Rhinolophus ferrumequinum: one gene and its partners. The protein of the gene in region 1 purifies or fractionates together with the protein of each later gene. This does not show direct contact. Links are inferred from orthologs where the notes say so. Each region holds a gene or a part of one and is shown in the gene's direction. Other genes may lie near its edges.

Region 1 (7,885 bases):
AGCCAGACCCCAACTCCTACCCGAGCCGGTCTCATTTGCACCCTGGGACCCAGCTTCGCCATCAGCACCGGGGCAGAGGCACTCACCCAGTCGCACGTATTCCGGGAAGGGCTCCTTGAAACGCAGCTCGTAGGGCAGAACGGCGAGTCGCCTGCGCGTGGCCTTGTCCCGAATCTCGCTGACCACATCCCGGATGGTGTAGATGTTCTTCCCAATGTCCTGCAGAGAGACCGGCCCGTCTCACAGCCGCCTGACCTCCCGCGCTCCAGCCCACACCCTGCTCCTCTCCACCGGAGCTCCCAGTACCTGCAGAGCCGCGTCCCGCAGGAAAGCCCCCGCATCAGCCACAACATGCTCCACGGCAGCCATGTTGGCCGAACCAGCTCCAAACACGCATGTGCACGGAGGTGGCGCTCACCACTACTTCCCATTCAGGGCGTCCGGGAGCCGGGAAGAGCAGCTGCGATTTAGCTGCGCCGCCTGGCGGCCGCACCCGCATCCCCCGACTCAGGACTACCCGCGCGCATGCGCGACGACGCCGGCAGCACAACCACGGGATGCGGGCACGGTTAAACCTTGGGGTACATCTAAGGAAATACGCTGCAGCACTCACTCCTTAGCTCCTTTTCCACTTTTAAGGGTGAAAGTTGTATATATTCTCATTGTTAAATCAGTCAATACACATAACCCAATTTAATGATCAAGGGATAGCTACAAGACAACTAGGCCCAGCTTAAGTGGTTGTGACTGAGATTAACACCCAGACAAACCAACTCGGAGCCTCTTTTTTACCCATTATGCTATACTGACTGCTGCTTACGTACCCCCACTTCCTTTTGAGTAACTTGAGGCCAAGTTACCTTAATATCCTTATTTACCTTAGTATCCTCGTTCCACTTCCCTAAGCAAGACACACACTTTGCTAGCAAATAATTCCTTGCTGAATCGAACTGAAGAGGGGTATTAGATGATTTCTGAATTCCCTTTCCAATCTGAGATTCCATCATTAGGAGAACTGGCCTATTATAAATTCATGCTGGTGAATTTCAGCTGAATGTTGACTTGAGTTTTCAGTAATCAGTTTTCAGAGATGTTGAGTTATTCCAAACCTCTGTGAAGTCTTCAATCCAGTCTTAGCCCTCCCTTCTAATTTATGCATCCTACTTCCAGAAATCCCTGAAGGTCCCCTTCAGTAGTTGCCCAAACCCCTTTCCCTTCCCTAGACATCTGTCTGAACTGTTCTTACTTAGTCTCCTCAACCTCCAGAGCCACTGGTTCCTGCCCTGCCTGCCCTGCCTAAAATAGCCTGATAGAAAGCTTTCTAATTTTCGAGTTCATCATGTCAATTTTCTGGTATTTTTTTCTTGCCTTCTCAGTTTCTCTGTAGAATTTGACATTGCAGCCCATCTCCTCTTTCTGGACTGTCTCTCCTTGCCTGACTTGGGTGATACTACAAGATTCTGGTCCCTTCCCTCCCTGATGGCTTCTCATCCTTCTTTACTGGACTCCCTTCTTCTGCCTTGCAAACCGGACCCCCTCCACAGAACTGTCTGGCCCCTTTGTCTCTCTAAACTCTCTCCTTCAGCAATACTATCTATCCTCAAGGCTTCAGTTATCACATTATAGGAATGCCTCCCAAATCTTTAGGTCTAATCCCTGTTTATTCCCTGTTTATATCATCTGAAAACTTTTGGCATCTTCACTTAGGAGGAAGGTTATGACTGAAGTAATTATCTCTCCCGCCCCAGCTTAAACTTTGTTCCAATACTAAGGTTTCTATTTTCATTAAAAGGCATTACCAACAAAGACATTCAAGGTAAGCATCTGAGTCACCTCATTTCCACCCTCTCTCTCAACCTGTGTTTCTCTTGCTAAACCTTATTGATGTCACTTCTGAAATGTATGGGGCGTCTGGGTCCCCTCTACATTCATTACTCTAATCAAGCTTTTTATCTCATGCCTAATAAATATAATACACTCAATGCTAGTATTCCTGTCTAATTTCTTCTTCAATTGATTGCTCATGTAGCCTAAAAAGCAAGGGAGGAACTAGAATCTGTAATAAAGAGGTTCATTGAACTTGGCAGCGATAATTGAGTAAACCCCACAAGGAAGAAGAATGATTTAGATCAGTGGTTCTCAGACTTGACTGTCAGAATCACCTGGGGAACCTGCAAACACAGCTTGATGGGTCTCACTCTCAGTTCCTGATTCAGTAGTTCTGGGCAGGGCCTGAGATTTTGTATTTCTAATAATTTCCAGGTGATACGGATGCTGCTCCTTTGGAGGACACGTTTGAGAACCACTGATTAGGGAAAAAGGAAAAGAATGATCAGGCTTTGAGCCATTTATTTTCTAGTAAATACTAAGAATACTTATTAATACACAGGCATATCTTGGAGATATTGCAGGTTCAGTTCCAGATCACTGAAATAAAGTGAGTACCATAATAAAGTGTTATAATTTTTTTGCTGATGGAAGGTCTTGCCTTCAATTTGTGAAAAATGCAGTATCTCTGCAGTGCAATAAAATGAAGAGCAATAAAATGAGACATGCCTCTAAAAGGTTTCTTGACACTTTGTAGCTTTTGTCATTTTTTAATAGAATTGAATCTCTTTTCTGTTTCTTTAGAACATTAGTCTCCAAGCCCCCTAAAGCCTTAGAAGGACTCTCACTTATTTAACAATTATGTATTGAGAACTAACTTATATCACCATAGGGTGGGTGACATGACAGCTATGAACAAAATCATATTTTCTGTAGCATCTAGGGACACCTTCAGAGTTTTTGACTTTGGAGATGGATCTGGAAGGATGAGTAGGGCAAAGCCATCAAGATAGGAAAGTCCAAGGGGTGTTCATGGAATTGAAGGTAGAGCCTATGGTAGGACATGGTGACTGGGGACAGGGTCTCTCAGAGGTGAAGTGAGCCCCGAAACACTTCACTGTTTTGAAGCTCCCGGTTTTTAAAAAGCAAAGAAATCTCACACGCTATTATGAAAATTGTGTTTACATGAACAAATTAACACTTTCAAGTACATGTAGAAGGAATCAATGTGTAACTCATTTGGAGATGTCAACTTTTACATGTGAAGAAACCCTTTATGAAAGAGAAGGTATTGCTTGTGTGCCAGTGAAGATCCGAGTTTGTTTCCAGGATTGAAATATGTAGAGGCTATGAGACTAAATGCTTAACAGGGGAGAGAGAACTTGATGCAGAAGAAACACTGTGAAATCAATAAATGTTCTTAGAATTCTTCTGGACTTTCCTGTCTCTGCCTTTGCCCTTGTTTTTTCTTATTCCTGAAAATTCTGCCTGCCAATCACTGCTTAGTTTCCAAAAATGGCCCATTGTCCCCTCTGTAAATTGGTCCCTGATTACCCAAATTAGATTTTTCCCCAAGGACAGATTTGAACTCTGCTTTTCCACCACATTTAAGACATTTCAGTTCTGTCACTCAGCGAGCAGTTATTATTTATGCTTTGCAATGTAGTTGTCTGTTGTCTTTAAGTAGGTTGGAAGTCAGGGAATGGGTTTTAGGGATCTTTATCCTTAAATGAAAAAAATCTCTTACACTGTAGGACCTACAGCAATGAGTTCAGTGCTCAATAAATATTGAAATGTATTCATTCAACAAATTATTTCAAGAGGCTTCCCGAGTTTGGAAGGTCTGTGGAGGGGGCCACGTCTCAGGGACCTGAGAGCAGCCTCTAGGAGCTGCATGTGGCCACAGACAACAGCTAGCAAGACCAAGGGACTCCGGTCCTCTGGCTACAAGGAAGTTAAATCTGCCAACAATATTAAGGAGCTTGAAAGCAGATCTTTCCCTAGTCAAGCCTCCAGCTGACGACGCCACCTTAATTTCAGCCTTGTGAGACGCTGAGCAAAGAACCTAGCTGTGCTGGCCTGGACTTCAGACCTGTGTGAGGTAAAAAATGGGTATTGTTTTAGCCACTACACTGGGATATAGCTCCTGCCTTCATAATTCTTGTAGTGAGAAATAGATTTTACATATGTATTTTATGTACATACGTACATACCTACACACATGCAAATATTCATACAAAAGTCAGATAGTGATAAGACTGGAGGAAATATGGAGGAAAAAATAAAGCAGGAAAAGGGGCCGGTAGGAGAGTATTTTTACTTGCTTCATCTGGCAACCCTATGCCTACTATGAGTCAGGCACTGTTGTAGGCTCTAGATACACAAAAATCCTTTCCTGATCACCCTATGTAAATTTCCTGATCATCCTATTTAAATTATTTTAAATTATTTTACATAGTGTGATCAGGAAAGGATTTTTGTGTATCTAAAGCCTACAACAGTGCCTGACTCATAGTAGGCATAAGGTTGCCAGATAAAGCAAGCAAACATACAGTATGGCCAATTAAATTTGATTTTCAGATAAACATTTTGTGTGTGTATAAATATGTCCCATGCACTATCTGGGACACACATATTACACGGTTGTTTATCTGAAATTCAAATTTAACCAGACGTCCTGTATTTTATCTGACAATCCCACTAAGGAGCTCAATAAATACTTGATGACTTAATTGTTGAGCGGCTTCCTCTCACCTGTATAGTGGGGCTAATGATAGACCCGCCTCCGGGGTTGTAGGTAGGAGTATATGAAACTCCTGACACTCAGTGAGCCCTCAATTTATTTGATTGCCTGGGAGCCGTCCAGCGAGTGGTAAACGCTCCCACTTACACATATAAAAGGGGTAAGAAGGCCTTCTCTCGGCCAAAGGCTCCCAGGCCAGGCCTAGGTTGCCTGCACCTGCGAGTCCGGCCAGCCTCTTCCGGGTCAGGTGACCGCAAGCGGGCACGTGACTCAGCCCGAGTGCGGGCGGTGGGAGGCGGAAGTGGGAGAGGAGTTGGGCGCGGATTCTGTGGCCGCGGCAGGTAGCGAGCGCGGGCGCGGGGGGCGAGGCGGACGCGCGGGGGGTGCGGGGCGGGCCAGGGGCTGCGGGCGGCTGGGGGTGGGCCGGGGGCGGTGCGGCCCGGGCGCCGGGGGGCGGTGGCTTCCTGTGGGAGGGGCCAGACGCGGCGGTTCCGGCCTCCGAGGAGGGGTGTCCCGGCTCCGGCTCTGGCGCGGTGGGCGCGCCGAGGGCTGTTCGCGGGGGTTGCTCTGAGATGGGCACGGAGGAGGCCAGGGGTGCGGTGGCGGACAGCAAGTCCCTCGGGAAGGAGAAGGGAGTTTAGGTGCCAGGGATAGAGAGGGGTGACCTTTGAGGAAGGGTCGGGACGGGAGGAAGGGGCAACTTGCGACTGAACTGGAAGGGGGAGCCTGATAATGGGCATAGGACATGGAGGGAAAGAAGGAGAATTCAGGAAGATGCTGCTTGAACCCCAGCTGAGTCTCTTCCTTCTTTCCTCGGGTTGCTACCCGAGACTTTGATTTCGGTCCCATTCAGTTTGTAAACTTTAGGATGGGTCACAGAATCTTTTCTTGCTTTCGTCACACGCACTTAGTCCTGCCTGGATAGGGTTTCCACTTCTTGGGAACCTAGCCCTTCTGATAATCTTTCTTTGAGGTTTTCCCAGGTTAGATCAACTTCTAGGCTGAAAAAAAAAAGTGTGGGCACTTTGGCCATAAAATGGCTTTTAGTTTAAACTGTTGCTCAGCAGTTACCTCAGCAACATAGCGACTGCTGAAACCTTGGACAGTGTCTACCTCTACAGCTTTATGACTTTTCCTCTTTCTTCAGTTTAAATTATTCAGCTTCTCTTACCATGTGACTGCTTATCTTGACAAACTGTAACTAGGTAGGGTAACTGAAAGGTCTGTGTTGTGTTCTTCAGAACGATGACCTAGATCGTGATTTTGAGATTAAACACCTGTGTGAAAAGCTGTTCATCGTCTTTTTCTTCGTGTTTACTAAAATTTGCAGCAATGAAATAAATTTCGTGAATGTGGTATCACTGGAGTGAATGTTCAAACTGGGCATTCACAGGAGCCAGAGTCATTTTGGGTGACAAGTAGGAAAAAAAAGTACTTTGCTAATGTATTATGATTGCAAGTTTTTGGAATATTTGACAGTTTAAAATTGATTTTTGTAGCAGCCCTGTGAGTTAGGTTGGGAAGGTGTTATTCTCATTTCACAATGAACAAACAGACCTAAGAGATGACTTCTTTTTTTTTTTTTAAACAATTTATTTATCTTGTTTACTGGTTTCTTTCTCCCTGCTAGACTGCAACCCCTCAAGTGCTGGGGTCATCTTATTCAGCTTACTTGGCTACTAGCCTAGTGCCTGGCATGTTGTGGGCACTGGGTAAATGAATAAATGAATTTCTAAAGGTTACGTGGATGTATGTGGAGGATAAGGGATTTGAACTCAGGACCTGGCTCTTCTCTTAGACAGACTTGCCATTTTCTGTTATTGGTCCATCTGAAGACCATAGGCCTGGGGAAAAGGTTTGGGTTAGCTCCTCAGTCTCTTACTTAACGACTACTTTCCATTTACAAAGACTTATAACCAGCATCTCATTTAATTCTCACCATGGTCCTGTAAAGGTTGGTATTGTCCTTATTCTACAGATGAAGAAACTGAGGCTTAGCAAAATTCTTGCTTTAGAGTCCAGAGCTACTGAATGAATGAGCAGGGACTCCAGCCCAGGGCTTTTATCCTTAGATCCACTCTTTTCCATTCATAGAAGCAATATAAAGTTTTATTTTAAAATATTTTTTCAAGTATAAAAAGCATGACATTTTAAGGAAAAAAAGCAGTATGTAGATCACAGCAAAAATTGTGAATGCAGAATGCAATTGAAGTTTAGAAAACTCTGTGCAGTGCTATAGCCGCCTTTTCCTGGGAAAGCATTCTTTAATTCAATGAATATATATAAGTGCCTACTTTACGCCAGGCATTGTTCTAGAGTTGCCTTGTCCAGTATGGTGGCCAGTTGCCACCTGGGACTGTTGAGCACTGAGAATATGCTATGAGTAGAAAATACACACCAGATTTTGAAGACTTAATATGGAAAAAAGATAAAATATCTCATTGATATTTTTTATATTAGAATAAATATCAATATCAATATATATAGTATAAATGATGACATTTTAAGTTTATTGGGTTAATCACAGTATTAATTGAAATTAAATTCACCTGTTTCTTTTTACTTTTTAAAATGTTTTCTGGAAAATTAAGAATTGTATTGCACAGTGCTGTTCTAAACACCGGTGAAAGAATATATGAGAAAGTCAAAAATCCCTGCCCTTGTGGACAGTAAATTTTAGTGGGGAAAGGCACAGTAAACAAAAGAATCCAGTAAAATGCATATTGTATTGTAATAAAGCAGGGAAGTAGGATGTGGAATGTTGGCTAGGGTGGCAGTTTTGAATTAGGGTCCTGAGAGAAGACTTCTTGAGAAAGTGATGGTTGAGTGAAGATCTGAAGGAGGTGAGGGAAGGAGCCATGTGGCTGAATGGGGACATAGTGGTCCAGGCAGAGGAAACAGCAAATTCAACAGCCTGAAAGACACAGCACCCCTGGCAGGTTTGTGGATCATCCAGGAGGCCAGCAGCTGCAGGGATATGAGTGAGACGGGATGGGGAAGATGAGTCAGAGAGGTGTTGGGGATAAGGAAAGAGATGGGCGGGTGGGGGAGAGCCTTGCAGGCCATTGTAAGGATGTTAGTTTTCACTCGGAGTGAGTTGGGACCATTGAGTTTTGAGCAGTGGAGTGGCCACCATCCATCCTGCCTTTTAACCGGGTCACTCTGGTTGCCATGCAGAGAAGGAGTAAAGAGGAGCAAGACGAAGTAGGGAGACACGTTCAGAGGTATTGCCAGGATCCAGGTGAAGGACGGCGTGGGTCGCGGTGATGGAGGTGGTGAGGAGAGGTTGGGCTCTGGGTGTATTTTGAAGTACAG
Region 2 (7,240 bases), on another chromosome or scaffold:
CACTGGAAAAACAGACTGGCCTGGGTGAGTTTCCTGATTTGCAGCTTTTAGCTTAAGAATAGGGCCCTGTCTGTGATATGCAGAGCAACTCTGCCCAGATCTCTGGCCAACTCCTGAACCACATATGCAAGAGGCCAATTTTAAGAAGCTTCAGCTAGAAGAGCTGAATTGAAATCCCAGCTGCTACAGGGGAGACAGGGTTTTGCAACTTGAGGTCAGCTACTTAAAAGGCCTGAATAAAGAATAGTCAGTACTCATCAGAAGAGCATAATAGAATCCAGACTTTCTGCAACATATCATTCATAATCAGGATACAACTTATTCAATTTACAATGAAACAGGAAAATATGACTCATTTTAAAGAAAAAAAACAATCAACAGAGACCAAATCTGAAATCACCTAGATGATGGAATTAGCAGACAAGAATTTTAAAGAAGTTATTATAGATATACTCAAATATGTAAAGGAAAATATGTTCATAATGAAGATATAGAAAATCTTAGATGATAAATAAGCTATAAAAAAAACTAAGTGAAAGTATAAAAACTGAAAAACAAATAGCTGAAATGAAAATTTAGTGGACATATTTAAAAGCAGAAAGGAGATGAAAGAGCAAAAAGTCAGTGAACTAGAAAGTAGTCAACAGAAATGATCCAAACTGAAGAACAGAGATTTAATAAATGTACAGAGACTCATAGATCTTTGCAACAATATCAAAAAGTTTCATACATACATATATATATATGTATATAATGCAACTGGAGTCCCAGAAGATTTTATATTACATACATAAACACACACAGGGTGCCAAAAAAATGTATACACATTTTAAGAAAGGAAAAAACTGTATGAAAATTGTAATACTCAATATATACCGATAACAAAAGATGAATACAAGTCACGTTTGACTTCTGAGAATACAAGAGGTGCTCCAAGTGGTTACCATCAGCATAATTTTAATACAGTCTTTTTCTTTCTTAAAATGTGTATACATATTTTTTGGTACCGTACGTGTGTGTGCGCGCGTGTGTATACATACATATGTGTGTGTGTGTGTGTGTATATATATATATATATATATCTGGAGTCCCAGAAGGTTAGGAGAGAGAGAAAGAATGATGCAGAAAAGTATGTGACTAAATAATGGGTGAAAATTTCATAAATTTGGTAAAAAATTTAAAGTCTAAACAGACTCTTAAACCTCAATAAAGCAAAATTAATATAAAAACAAACAAAATAAAAGTAAAAGTATTTAGGCATATCATAGTCAAACTGCTGAAAATCAATGACAGAAAATCAATAAAAATGCTGAGAGAAGTTAAAGATGTAGATAAATAGGGAGATATACTAAATTAATGGATTGAAAGACTCAATGTTGTTGAGATGTCAATTACCAAATTGATTTACAGATTCAGTACAATCCTAGTCATACTCCTACTATGCTTTTTAGTCAAAATTGACAAGCTGATTCTAAAATTTCTATAGACATGCAAAGAATTTAGAATACTCAAGAAGTCTTGAAAAAAGAAATCAAGTTTGTAGACTTACACTGTTTGACTTCAAGACTTACCCTAAAGCTACAATAATCAAGACAGTGTGGTACTGACAGAGGATTAACAGAGTGACAAAATAAAGAACCCAGAAATAGACCCGCACTTACACATTTATTTTATTTTTGACAAAAGTGTCAAAGCAACCCAACTGGGAAAGGAAAGTCTTTTTAACAAATGGTGTTGAAATAATTACATATTTATATGGAAAAAAAACTAACCTTGCCCTACATCATATTATCCACAAAAATCAATTAGTGATGGACCATAGACGTAGAGAAAAGATCTAAAACTATAAAACTCCTAGAAGAAAACATGGGAGAATATTTTCATGACTGGGGGAAGACAAAAACCAAAAAAGAAAAAAGAAATTAGACTTAATCAAAATTAAACTTCTGGTCATCAGAAGAAACCTTATTAAGAAAATGTATAGGCAAGCCACAGGGCAGGAGAAAATACTTGCAAATTGTGTCTGACAAAGGACTGGTATCCTAGATATACTAAAACTCCTAAAACCCATGAATAAAATGACAAACAACTCAACTTAAAAATAGCCAAAAGATTTGAACAGAAGATAGTAAATGAATGGTTGATAAGCACATGAAAAAACATTCAACAGCTTTAGTAATTAAGGATATGCAAATGATGAGATACCACATACATTACCTGCATGGATGGTATTAGAAGGACAACAGATGTTGGAACGATGTAAATCAACTAAAACTTTGAAACATTGTTGGTAGGAGGCGAAAATGGTATGAGAACATTGGAAACAATATTTGTAAACAAATACTGAACTCTGGTTAATAACATTGAAATATTTAGGGGGAATGTATTAATATCTGCAGCTTACTTTGGAACACAATGAGAAAAGTAATTAAATGAGTTGCTGGATAGATAAAGAAATGGGTAGAGAATCAATATATGATAAAGCAAATATAATAAAAAACGTTAACTGAAAAAACTACATGAGTATATGGGTGTTCACTGTGAAATTCTTTCAATGCATCTCTTAAGTTTGAAAATTTTGTGATAGAATGTTGAAAACAAACGATAATTGAAGGTGCTTGGCAGATTGCCCATTATATGGAGTCTTGCCTTAGGAAAGGACATTAGAGTCTAGCTGATGTATAGGGGATCAGGGTAGGCAAAGGAGGCTTCTGGGTCCAGAAACTGCTTTTCTTTGTTCTACTCTCAAGGAACCTGGAGGCTGAGGCAAAGCAAAGAGCCAAGTTCCTCCTGCATTCCATAAGATTCAATGGCTGTGCTCTCTGTAATTGCCTTGTTTACCAGAGGGTGACTTTAAGAGTTCTCACCATATCTGTTCTAGAAATTGAACAGCAAGAGGCTGCCTGCCACTGTTTACTCTACCTGCTGAGCGCCTATGTGGGCTACTCTCTGTGCTAGGCTTTGAGGATACTGTGATCAAGTGAATAAAAATGGCCCCTGCCCTTTTATGGATCTTACTATTGATTAAACTTTGTTCCTCTTCTACTTTGATCATTCTTTACGCCCTGACCAGAAGACTTGCAGGTTCCTTTTATAAGCCATGTTGACATTTCTTAAATCTCTGAATTCAAAAACCCCTTTCTAATGTTGAAACTGCATACGTCTATCTAAACAGAAAGAGATGGTTTTTTCTTGTTTTCCTCTCTCTATTTGACACAAGAAGATCCCAGAGTCTCAAAATAGCTCAGCAAGAAACTGGACACATGCCTGTTGACCCAAAGTCCCCGTGTACTCTGCTGAAGTAGAGGTGTGAGGGAAAGGGCGCTGGGTCACTAAGCTTGACTGTCTGCCTGCCCCACTTTCAACAGAGGTCACACGCATTATCCTTCTCTGCCCTGGCACCACAGCCAGAAAGCCTGCCCAAAGTCTAGCCCAAGGTTGTGGCATCAGGGAGAGGTGCCTGGCTTCGTGGGTAGCTTGACGTGACTTTGAATCCCTGGTTATACATCCAGTTGCTCCAGCCTCCCCTTTAACATACAAAAGAGAAAATTCCTTACTGAAACATCTCTTGTCGTAAACCATCTTGGGAAAGGTGAGCATGTTTTGAGCTGATATAACATTAGCTCATAATATTATAAATGACCCCAAATTGGTTAAGTGGTACTTTTTATAGTCAATAAAAAGAAAATAAAAATGAGTTGCCTTCTTAGAAAGGCTGTCACAATTTCTTTCCATACATTGACTGATCCCCTGTGCTTACCTGACCACCTTCTCTGCAAAGACTGTCACCTGTTTGTCACCTTTGTATGCTTATAAATCTACCAGCTCTGAAAAATTCTTAGCAAGGTGATCGTTTCCAGCTTCTTATGCCCCTTGTCCAGACTGAAATAACTTTGCTTCTTTTCTCTCCCCGCTTCCTGCAAAAATTTATCTCTCAGGAATTTAAATACCTGTTTTCTTTCCCTAGAAGCTGTTTTTCAGACAGTTGGATTCCTGGGAGATAATGATACGACTCAGGAACTAAGTCTTAAGTGGTTTTTCTATCCCGGTGCCGCCCATTTCAGGCGATTGGTGCTTCAGGACTTTCTGAAGCTCTTTGAAAACAACAGGGCTAGTCAGATTCCAGTGATTTACCTTCTGGAGGCTGAGCGTGTCTGGGCAGCGGCTGCATAATTTGGATGGAGTCATCACTGATGAGGCAGAGTTGGCTCACTCAGGGAGCACTCGTTGCTCTTTTAAACTCCACGGCACTCGGGATGAAGTCACCTTTCTTCTTTTAAAACCAACAGATTTGCCCTCTGAGTCCCTGTCACTTCTGTTAGAAGTTGGTGTTTTTTTCCACTGCCGATCACTGGGACCTTCTCTCAGGTAAGGAAGCTCTTATTTAGTGGGTTTCCATCCAGGAAAGCTTGGTTTGAGGGGAAGTGTTTTGGGCATCTCTGGGTAAAGTTGGAGTCAGGTTAGGAGACAATCGATTGTCTGAGGAGTACGGCTGGTTCCCAGGCAGCTGGTGTCCACCTGGTGGGCTGGCAGGACTTGGGCTGGGTGAGCAGAGCTCAGGGGCAGTGGCGAGTTCTCACAGTGGGCATGAAAACTGAATCTCGGCTTGGTTTCAGGTGCCTGTTCTAAGAGTTGTGTAACCAGCATGTTGGTGAAGCACCTACAGGTGGTCTCCTCTGGGTGGGGGCTGTCTTACCCCCTTTGCCTTCCTATCTACTGGCTTTGTGTTTTGCGTGGAACTCTCATAGGGTCTCATGACAAAAGTTGAGGTGCCGAAATGCAGCAGCTCTCTGGAGAGCCTTCATGTGCTCATTTGCTGGCTTGAACACTTCCCGTCTTCCTCAGAGTATAGCAGGAGGCAATCTTGTCCTGACATGTAGGCACCTTGTGTGAACAATGGCTGTGCTGCTATGTGGGGCAGAAATGTGCAAACACGTCTTCGTGCCTGTCCATACAAGTTCTAAGAAAATGAACATGAGTTTGTGTGTGTGTGTGTGTGTGTGTGTGTGTGTGTGTGCGTGTGCAGGCAGGTCTGAGGTCCTAGGGTTACTTCCCTGCAACGTTTTCTGTGAGTTATTTGAGTCGTAGTCGCTGATTGAATCATATAGCTCTTATTAGCTTTGAAAAGCTCAATAAAGACATCTTGGTTATGACAGAGGGGACTACGGGGTGATAAATGGCTTTTGGAGAGAGTTGAATCACTGTGAAGTGAAAACATAGAGAACTGTAAGGCCCTGTATTAGCTGACACAAAACCCTACTACATAGTATTCAGTTCGTTCATCCTTAACCTCTGAAGGGAGCAAGAATCTCATTAGACAAGAGAAGCTTGTTTTGTTTTAAATACAATTACATACTGCCTGCCAGCGTTTGTTGACACGTGCACCTCATACTTCGCTTGTCCAGAATTCATTCTTACCTGAAATCTGCTCCTCGTTCTGTGTCCCTACCTCAGTAAAAAGCACCTGGTTGTCAATAACAGATTTCTGGACTTCACCTTTGACCCCTCTTTTGTCCTCACATTCCCTCATCTAGTTTGGCAGCACATCCAGCAGATCTGCCTCTATGTTGTCTCTCAAATCCATGCATTCTCCCACTTCCATGGCTATTTTCCTAACTAAGTTCTTATCATCTTTTCCCAGGAGGTTTCCAGAAACCTCCCATCCAGGTTTCCTCTCTTCAGTCTTACTTTCCTGGTGCAGCGAGGTGATTCCACCTGTACAATCCAATCAATCACTAGTCTGCTGATTCTGTCTTAATATCGCTCAAAATTTTCACATCTATCCATCCCACCATTACTACCTTGGTCCAACCCACCAACACTCTTTGTTTGAGTTATTGCAATAGCCTTTTGGTTGACTTCTCTGCTACTAGGCTCACTCTCTTCCCAATATAAGATGTTTTGAGCTTCTTATCTTCCCAAGCTTTTAAAGGACGTTCTTTTTCTCTCTCTCTCTCTCTTTTTTTTTTTACAAGAGCAGAACTTGAAACACCTGTTTCCCTATCACGTTTAGAAGCATCAACATTTTTATGACTCTTGTAGATACTTCAAGGAGGGAAGCAGAGAGAATGGGGGCTGGTGGGGGATGTGTATTGCAGTGGGAAGATGGCCTGAGGAATGCATGAAGTTCAGGCCTTAGAACCAGGCAGGTCTACATTTGAATCCCAGTTCCTCCACTTCCTAGTGTGGCCTTGACCAGATGGCTACACCGTCTGGAGACACATTTTCCCGAACTGTGAAATGGAAATAAGAATGTCTACTTTTCTGGGTGAAGACAAGAGTTAAATGAGAACATTTATGAAATGCTCTGAAACATAGCAATTAAGAATGTTTAGTTCCTCTCCTTCTTCCCTTCCCTTTTAAGGTTTATAATCTCTAATCATCACATATCTTGTAAGTATGTGTGTATGTATAATTATCTGTTTTTGGCATGGTAGGAAGAAAGAGTGGCAAAAAATACACAGAACTCTCTTAAGGAATTTGCAGTTTACTTAAGGTGGTAAAGCAAACCCAAAGAGTATATAAACACCTATAAAACAAGCGTTCTGCCATTGTCATGTGGACAGTACCAGCTGAGTACATAAGCAGGGAGGGCCTGAGTAAACCGGTCTGTGAATACCTGCAGACAGAGTGTAAATAGATCTACATCAGGCAAATTCAGATTTAGGCTTTTTGAGGACTTAAAAATCATTGACCTCTCTGATGATGAAATAAAACTTCCCAGGTTTTATACTTTTAGGGTGACTTAAGGACATACAGATTAGTGCTTATGTGAATTTACTCATTCATTCATTCATCAAGGATTTATTAAGCACTGATTCTGTGCCGGGTCCTATATTATACAATTTCTTTACTATTCTTCCATGGGACATGGATGAGATCATTCTCCTCCTCTTGAATTGGGGCTAGCCTTAAGGACTTGTTTGGCCAATAGAATAAGAAGAAAGTGACGTTTGGGGACACCCAAATAAGTTCTAAGAAGCTTTGCTGCTTCCTCCTGAATTTCTTGGCCCTAAAGCCTATTTTAACTCTGGGGAAGCCAGCCACCATGTAAAGTCATGTGCTGGTAACATGGCTTTCTGGAGGGAAAACAAAGAAACCCTGATTTGTAGCGTTTTCCCATTGTCATGGTAAAAATACTCCCTCTCATCATGGCTGATTTCAAGCTACCAAAGTGACAACACTGAACGCAGGTTGGCAAGAAATACAGAGAATCAGCTCTTACACATTGGTACAAGCA
Region 3 (7,782 bases), on another chromosome or scaffold:
GAGAGGAGGTCCTCTGGGGTCTTCCTACGACCCTAAACTCACTGCTGTGACACTCTCTCGGATCTACTCTTTCTCTCTGATTGCTCAAAATTCTTCCCACTTTTTTCCCTTTCTCTCCTATCAAATTCCATTCTTTCACTGTAAGTCATCACCTCAGCTAGGCTTTTGTAAGAAAGTTATTTGGAACAAATTCACACTCATGTGTAAATGACTGATAGGCCACAAGCCTTCTAGAAGGACCTATGGTCTCCAAGGAAGATCCGGGTTAACCAAATAATTTTATTGGTGGAATCTCAGCCAATATGTCAAAGGGAAGTGAAATAAGTCAAGCGGGGAGGGAAAGATGTTTTAAATCTTGTTTAAGATTCTGTCTTCTAAACTGAGAGGAGGGGGCCTCAGCTACGTAGTCTCTACCAAAGATCAGTACATGTGATCTTTCGAGGACTTTTTTGTTCTGGTTTGTGAGTTTATTCATAGGAAAAGTCATAAAAAGATGTTATTCAATCACAATAATATTCATTAAATTTGCTAATTAAAAAGTAAAATTAAATGAAATAAAAAAATATCAAACATTTAATAATGTTTTTTTCCTAAATGATCTCCCACACTATCAAAAAGATCATAAAACACTGTGGTGGCCTGATAAAAGAGATTTGTCACCAAACAACACTCAACCATGTGAAAGACTGAAAAGAAAAAAATTCTTTCAATTTGAACCTTATTTGGCTGGGATTTTTCTCACCAGAGTCTTCCTATTTTTTTTCCATGGGCAACTGCCCTCTTGATTAATCCCATTTCCCTCAGTCTTAGTTTTTCCAAGCAGCTGAGCAAACAAAGATGCAGGCGGCCATTTTAACGTGCTTCCTCTCTCCAGCCCTCTGGGATGGGCCGGCTGTTCATCCTGTTCATAAACCAACAGCCTGAATGTGCTTGGAGAAAGCAGCAAGGATCTTCTGTCAGGATTAATTTTAATAGGCCACAGTCTGTCACCTGGGAACCATAGCTCTGGCAAATGGCTTTAAATTACTATTTGCTGATAAAGAGTGAGATATGAGCTGAAAATTTGGTCCCTCATTTTAAACAGTTTGGATAACTAATGCAAGAATTTACTTTCAGTGTAGAGTACATGTTCTTTACAGCCTGAATCCTTGAGTAGCTGAGGAAAACCTTTTGTTGCAGTGGGGTCACAGTGAAATACAAAGAGGGGAAATGTGACATTTTATAGAAGTGTAGAATTTTAGAGCTGGGAGGGAAATGAAGAATTTGTGAATTCCTCAGCACAAAGCTTCCTCCGAAGCTTTCTGTTTCTGATTTCTGTGTAGAGAAATGTTATCCCTCTTACTATCCCTTCCATTTTTTTGTCTTCCTCTTCACCAATTCCTTTCTCTCTCCTTTTTCTTTTTTTCACTTTGTTGATCTCATATCCAGTTCCAACTCCCTGTTACCTTCCTTACTTTCTCTTCCCTAACTTGCCAGGCTCCTGTCAGTTATTTGTGAAGTTCTGCACTGATGGACAGAAAAGGCAGCAGGGTGAAGTAGGGCTAGTCCCCTCTGTGAAGTAGGGATAGTCCCCAGTGCTCTGTTCATCTGAGAAAGCAGTGAGTGAAAGGAGTGACTGGAAGAGGAGGTTTGGTAAATGGTACACAGATGTCAGCCATTATTGTTTAATAAAGTCTTAGGCTACCATTCTTTATTAAGTTTCCAGTAGCTATGGCTGCTATGGTTTGTTTGAAAGTTCAGCATGTTCCATTCCCAAAAGGATGTTTAAAAAACACACCAAAGAAAATAGAATTTTCTTCGAATTTGTTTATGACCCTTGGTTCCCATCTCTTCTCCATGTGGCCAGCAGACCAAAAGGTAGCCTTCCCTCTCCTCAGTCGGCTCTATCACCTTGAAGTCCAGACATCAATCAAGCCTTGATTTTCCTAACACATTAGTGCTATTGGACTCTCTTATTAGTCAGGGTTCTTCAAAGAAAAAGATCCAATAGGATGTGTCTATGTGTGTGTGTGTATAATCATATGAGCCAATTTCTTAAAATACATTTCATTTTAAGGACTTGGTTCATGTGATTATCAATGCAGGATAGACCAGCAGGCAGGAAATCCAGGGGAGAACCACTGTTGCAGTGCAAGTATGAAGGCTGTCTGCTGGCAGAATTCCTTCTGTTCGTGGGAGGTCAGTCTTTGTTGTAGTAAAGGCTTAATTGATAGGAAGAGGTCCACCTACATTATGGCAGGTAATCTACTTTACTGAAAGTCCACTGATTTGAATGCAAATCTCATCCAAAAAATACTTTCACAGAAACACCTAGAATGTTTGGCCAAATATCTGGGCACTGTGACCTAGGCAAGTTGACATGTAAGATTAACCATCACAGACTCCTTTGCTGATAATCATTGTTCCTAATGAACCTGTCTGGTTCTGATATCTGCCTATCCTCTCTTTTAAATTCTCTTTTGGGATGAACCTCCCACTAACCATTATTCTGCTGCCAAGTTCCGCTACTTGGCAGGAATCAGGCTAAATTTTTCATTTACACTTGCCTCACATGTCACAGCTAATATGACCACACACCACTGCCACCCTGGGCATTTCTAATCAGAGAGCCCGGGCATGCTTCTGCCTGGCCCCCTGTGGTACTCCCTTCCTACCCTCCAATGATCCCTACATGGTGGCAAGACCACCTCTGAATGCTGAGAGGCCCAACAAATGTGGAATCGAACACTTCCAGTCTTTACTACATTGATATTGGTGTTTCCCACATCAGTATTCCAAGTGAGGAAAGCAAAATTAGATATTTTTAAGGGCAGCTTAGGCTACAGGCAGGAAGATCTTTTAGGAGCTATTATAGTAGTTCACTCAAGGGCTTGGACAAAGACAATGGAGGCAACAATGGGTGTATGGGGAAGTGCTGAAAGGGTGGCAAGAGGGAGAGTGTACAGAAAAGAAGGTACTTGGGCTGTAGGATTTCGTAATCAGTTAGGTGGAGGGAAAAAGAATAGTCAGGTATGAATATCTAGTTTCTTGTTTGGACAACTATGTGGATGGTCTTGCCATTAAACAGTGAGAATTTTAAAAACAAAGAGTGGGTTAGGGGAGGAAATTTTTAGTTTCGAACAAGTTGAAGCTGAGAAATCTTAGGGATATCCAGGTGGTAAGGTCCTTACCCTGACTCTAGTTCTAGCCCCAGAACAAATACTCCAGATTTGAAACTCCTGGAAAGATTGGTAACATGGAATTCATGGTATGAGTGACTTTTGAGAAAATGGTCAACAGGATCAGATGCAGCAAGGAGAAAGACTAAAATCTGTCCCTTGGGTTTGGCAACCAGGAGAGGGTTCATGGCACTGGTGAGAGTGGTGAAGATCTGCCGGAGAGTAAGTCTTTCAGGAAGCTAATCTCTGAAGAGAGGGGCACTTTTTACATCTTTATTGGGGGGTATAACTGACATGCTATAGACATTGGACATATTTTAAATATACAATGCAATAAGTTGTGACTAGCTAAGTCCAAGGCCTTATTCAAGTATTTATTTAGCTAGGGCTGGAGCAGGCTATTGAAGTCCTTGAAAGCAGGGTTTAAGTTGAGAATTTTTATACATTAGTTAATCTCATCAGAATGGACAAGATTGGGAGGACACAGAAATGGCTTCAGCCATGCTCCCTGAAGTAGCTTCAGATTTTTTTCTAGAGCTTCTCTAGTTAGGAGGGATTGCTTTTGTCTATTATAGCACCTTACATTGAATTTAGAAAATTAAAGTTTCCATATCAAAGAATGGGGAGGCAGTGTTGGAAGTTATGGGGGCATTCATACCTCCCAATTGATATCTACTGTGTCTCTTTCATGCTTCTTCCTTTTTCCTTTGGGACCCAACTCTGGTAGCTGAACTATAAAGAATAGGTTAGAGCTGGGTGCGATGCTTATTACGCTGCCTTCCTCTTCTCAACAGCCTTAAAAAAAACTTTTCAACAATTTTAAACACTTGGAAATAGGCATACAGTGAAAACGGAGACTTACAAATTGGTGTCCTAAAAAGAGCAGGTGGGCATTTGAATTTGAACTCTAGTGTTTTCACTTAACTAGTTTTGTGCGCCGGGAATATTTACTTCAGTTTCTGTGCCTTTGTTTTTCTATAGGCAAAATCTGAAATTGTGAAAGAGAGGTTCTCAAGCCAGACATCAACTATCTTGCAATGCCTGAGGCAGTACTGCCCATGATTAAAGTCCAGCTCCAAATGCCAGAGCCCCATGAAGGAACGCTGATGGTCCCTAAGGGTCCTTTCAACTTTAACTTTTGAAAACATCGCAGCCTTGGGTTAAGGAGGCGCCACATCATAGACCAGGGCCTCCCAAGCCTCGTCCTGCACGTTACCCCAGCCTCTCACCAAAGGCTAACTCGTCACTCAGGTTTCGACCTACATTTCACTTCTTAGAAACACCTTCTTTGGTCCTCACACCAATCTTACTATTAATATTGTTTTATTATTACTTGATTAATGTCTGCCCCCTCCACCAATCGGTAAACTCCGTAATAGCAGGGGCTGTGGCGATTTGTTGAGGTCACGGTGGCACTCAGTAAATACTTTTTAAATCAACAAATGAGGGGATGAACAGAGAAACGACAAACGGCGCGAACGCACGCCCCACCGGGGCGTGACGTCACCCGCCGTAACTTCCGCTCCTCCGGGCGCCCCCTTCTCCTTGTCCGTGTTTATTTCCGGCGTTTCAATAAAGCTCGATTCGGCTCGAAGAAGACCTGTCCTTCCGGGAAAATGGCGGCTCCCGCTCGTGCTCCGCAGTCCCCGCCGGCCGCAGATCCGGTGCTAGCGGCGGGAGCTGCCGAGGAAGCCGAGTGCCCGCCGCCTCGCCAGCCTCAGCCCCCGCAGAATGTCCTCGCAGCGCCGCGGCTTCGAGCCCCAAGCTCCCGAGGGCTTGGGGCAGCGGAGTTTGGCGGAGCTGCGGGAGATGTTGAAGCGCCAGGAGAGACTTTTGCGCAACGAGTAAGCTGGGGTCCCGCCGAGTCACCGCCAGGCTCCTCCGGTTCAGGTTCCCAGGGACGCACCTCCCCCCGCCCCCCACCCCGTTCCCTTCCCCGGAAGGTGACCTTGTCTCAGACAGCTCCGTTCCAGCCCCGCGGGCGAGCGGACGGCCTGCAGCCGCCAAGCCGTGCGCGTTCTGGCCTGGCGCGGCCCGCCTGTGGGGGCGGCTCGCTGCGGAACGGCGCTTCAGGGTATCAGCTCTTCTTTAGCTCCTCGTTGGTGTATTGACTCAGCTACCGAGTCGGTTCCCTGAAGGGCGGGTCTGTACCTCGATCCTTTTGTTCCCCACCCCCGCCCCCATAGCGTGCCCAAAACAGCCTGTCAGTTTCATCCCTAGGGACTATTTTTATAGGAACCGTTGGAAATGGAAAGAGTGGGATTGAGGAGTGGTTTATTAGGCAGAAAAAGTTGAACTTTCATTCGTTGGCAGACAATGCGCTTTAGCAGGGAAACGATATGATGAAAGTGATTTATTTTAGGAAGCCTAATTTAGCAGCTTGGTGCAAGATGCTTTGAAGGAGTAAGAGGCAGAAGACAGTAGGAAGATATTTTCAAAGAGTTTGCCAACAAGGAGTTTGTAAGAAAGTGAACTATAAAAGTAGTTGAGGAGTTGGGGAACTTCATCAGACTTGGAATAATTTGAATAGGTTGTTGACAGGTGGCTGAGGATTGCGGCCTGTATGGAGAACTATTAACCACAGGAAAATTGGGGGAGGGGAATAGATTCCAGGTTGACTTGACTTAGGGCGTGCTGAGTTGAAGGGAGAGTTAATTATATCTAGTTAAAAGCTGGAGAAATGGTCATGAGGCTCGAGAGAGGAGAAAGCTTGGAAAATAGAGGAATCTCAACTGGAGGGGATGTTATCAATTGAAACTGTGGGAATGAAAGTAGTTTCCGAGGAAGAATAGAGGGCCTGACATGTAACCTTCCCTCCCCATTGTATGGCTAAAGACAGGGGAATCAGAAAAGGAACTCTGTCCCTCAGCAAATAGGACACATGATCGTTTGGGGGCTTCCTAGTACAAGCAAATATTTTGACTTTGTGAGAATGGATTTTTAATTTGTAACAGCGAATTAACTTGGTGTCAGGACTCCTTTCTATGCGTAAGTCTTATTGAGTATTCTAAAGAATTCTTGTTTTATGTGTGTTATATCTGTGGACATTTGTCAATGTATTAGGAATTACAAGTGAGAAATCGTAAGCACAAGAAAACACAAGTTCATACATTCTGTTAGCCAGCAGAGCAATGGTAATCACATGTCCTGTGGCCTCAGGAAAACTCCACTCACCCATGTGAAAAAAGGAGAGTGAAAATTGGTAAATAGTGTCTTAGTATTACTACGAAAATACTTTTGACCTTATAGACCCATTCACCTCCTCTCCCCAGGAAGGCCTTAGAGATCATACGTTAAAAACTGGTGACTTCTGGGATGTCTCACATGAGTATTATATGCTTAAAATACTTTTGCTGAAATTCTAATTAGAGGAGACAAATGAGGCACATTCCCTATTCTTCCTTGATCTGCTTGTTTTTTGGGGGCGGGTATTTGGATAATGACTGTCTTATTTCATTCATGTTTCGGGGCAGTTGGAAATCAGATTTTTGACTTACAGATTGATTTTTCTCCCTTTGAAGATAGTGCTTTGTCATTATATCTCAAGTTTAAAAACATGGCTCTAATGTATATGTGTTTTTTTTCCATTTGACAGAAAATTCATTTGCAAATTGCCCGACAAAGGTAAAAAGATCTTAGACTCTGTTGCCAAACTGAAAGCTGCCATTGCAGAACGTGAAGAAGTTATGGAAAAAAGTGAACTGTTTCATCCTGTTAGTTTAGACTGTAAACTAAGGCAAAAAGCAATTGCCATTGTTGAGATGGACACGGATAAATTCCAGAATTCTGACAAGATACTTGATACTTCATCACGAGTTCCTGGCTGTTCCTCTGTAGATAACATCACATCATCTGAAACAACCTCACAACAACAAGGACTTGTATCTTCTACCCAGAAAGGCGATGAAGAGGCCCCAGAGTTGGGGTACACGGTGAACAAGCGCCCAGCCCCCAGCAACAGAGCCCATGCACCTTCCTTATCCGAAGCTAGTGGTCATCTCCCTCAGCATCGAGTGTCAAGTCGAGCAGAAGATAATTCTAGCAGCTCTGACAGCTCGTTTATTGATAGGTTACAAAGGATCACAATTACAGACCGAGGTGAACACCACTCAGAAGAAAACGGGAGTACTGAGAACTTGACAGGCCTTTGTAGTGAGATGCAGAAGAAGCCTCATTACATGGAAGTGCTAGATATGCGAGCCAAATACCCAGTGCCCTCGCCACATAAATTTAAAACCAATGTGTAAGTACCATCAAAAACAGGCCAGTCACAGGAACATACTATTTGTTAAACTCAAAAAATTGGGAGAATGCTTTAAGTTCAGTGGACTTTGTGTGAGAACTACTTGTAGTGGGGAATGAGCATATGTGGAAAACAGTGAGACCAGCCTGACTGGAGTGGAGGATTCATGTTGAAAAATACTTTAATATTTAGCCAAATAATTGAAAAGGTTTTAAATAGCAAGTGGAGTATTAAATTTCAGGACACTTAGTCAGTATTTCATAATAAACACAGAGAATTTACTGTGACTCCTTTTTTCCCAGAATCATTTTCAGGTATGCAGTTCCCCCTTTGATTAGACTGTCAGCTAAGGAAAAAGGAATTGTAGGAGCTGGTAGACTT

What was found.
Region 2: the proteins of WWP2 (region 1) and AMOTL1 purify together in Homo sapiens (affinity purification with mass spectrometry; 3 studies listed by BioGRID and IntAct, counting the BioPlex papers as one, with this or other methods). This does not show direct contact. The link is inferred for Rhinolophus ferrumequinum from reciprocal best matches to the Homo sapiens genes WWP2 and AMOTL1.
Region 3: the proteins of WWP2 (region 1) and POLR2M purify together in Homo sapiens (affinity purification with mass spectrometry, with the first as the bait; 3 studies listed by BioGRID). This does not show direct contact. The link is inferred for Rhinolophus ferrumequinum from reciprocal best matches to the Homo sapiens genes WWP2 and POLR2M.

Annotation. Positions count from the first base shown.
Region 1 is NC_046298.1:18,773,936-18,781,820, forward strand, and holds the start of WWP2 (NEDD4-like E3 ubiquitin-protein ligase WWP2), read left to right. Parts: upstream 1-4,827; 5' UTR 4,828-4,911; intron 4,912-5,082; exon of another isoform or gene 5,083-5,103; intron 5,104-7,885. Other genes in the region: RNA-binding protein NOB1, read right to left, coding at 87-219, 307-369. UniProt on the Homo sapiens protein: E3 ubiquitin-protein ligase which accepts ubiquitin from an E2 ubiquitin-conjugating enzyme in the form of a thioester and then directly transfers the ubiquitin to targeted substrates.
Region 2 is NC_046294.1:65,529,836-65,537,075, forward strand, and holds the start of AMOTL1 (angiomotin-like protein 1), read left to right. Parts: upstream 1-4,195; 5' UTR 4,196-4,368; intron 4,369-7,240. UniProt on the Homo sapiens protein: Inhibits the Wnt/beta-catenin signaling pathway, probably by recruiting CTNNB1 to recycling endosomes and hence preventing its translocation to the nucleus.
Region 3 is NC_046289.1:51,654,169-51,661,950, reverse strand, and holds the start of POLR2M (protein GRINL1A), read left to right. Parts: upstream 1-4,737; 5' UTR 4,738-4,889; coding exon 4,890-5,002; intron 5,003-6,753; coding exon 6,754-7,401; intron 7,402-7,782.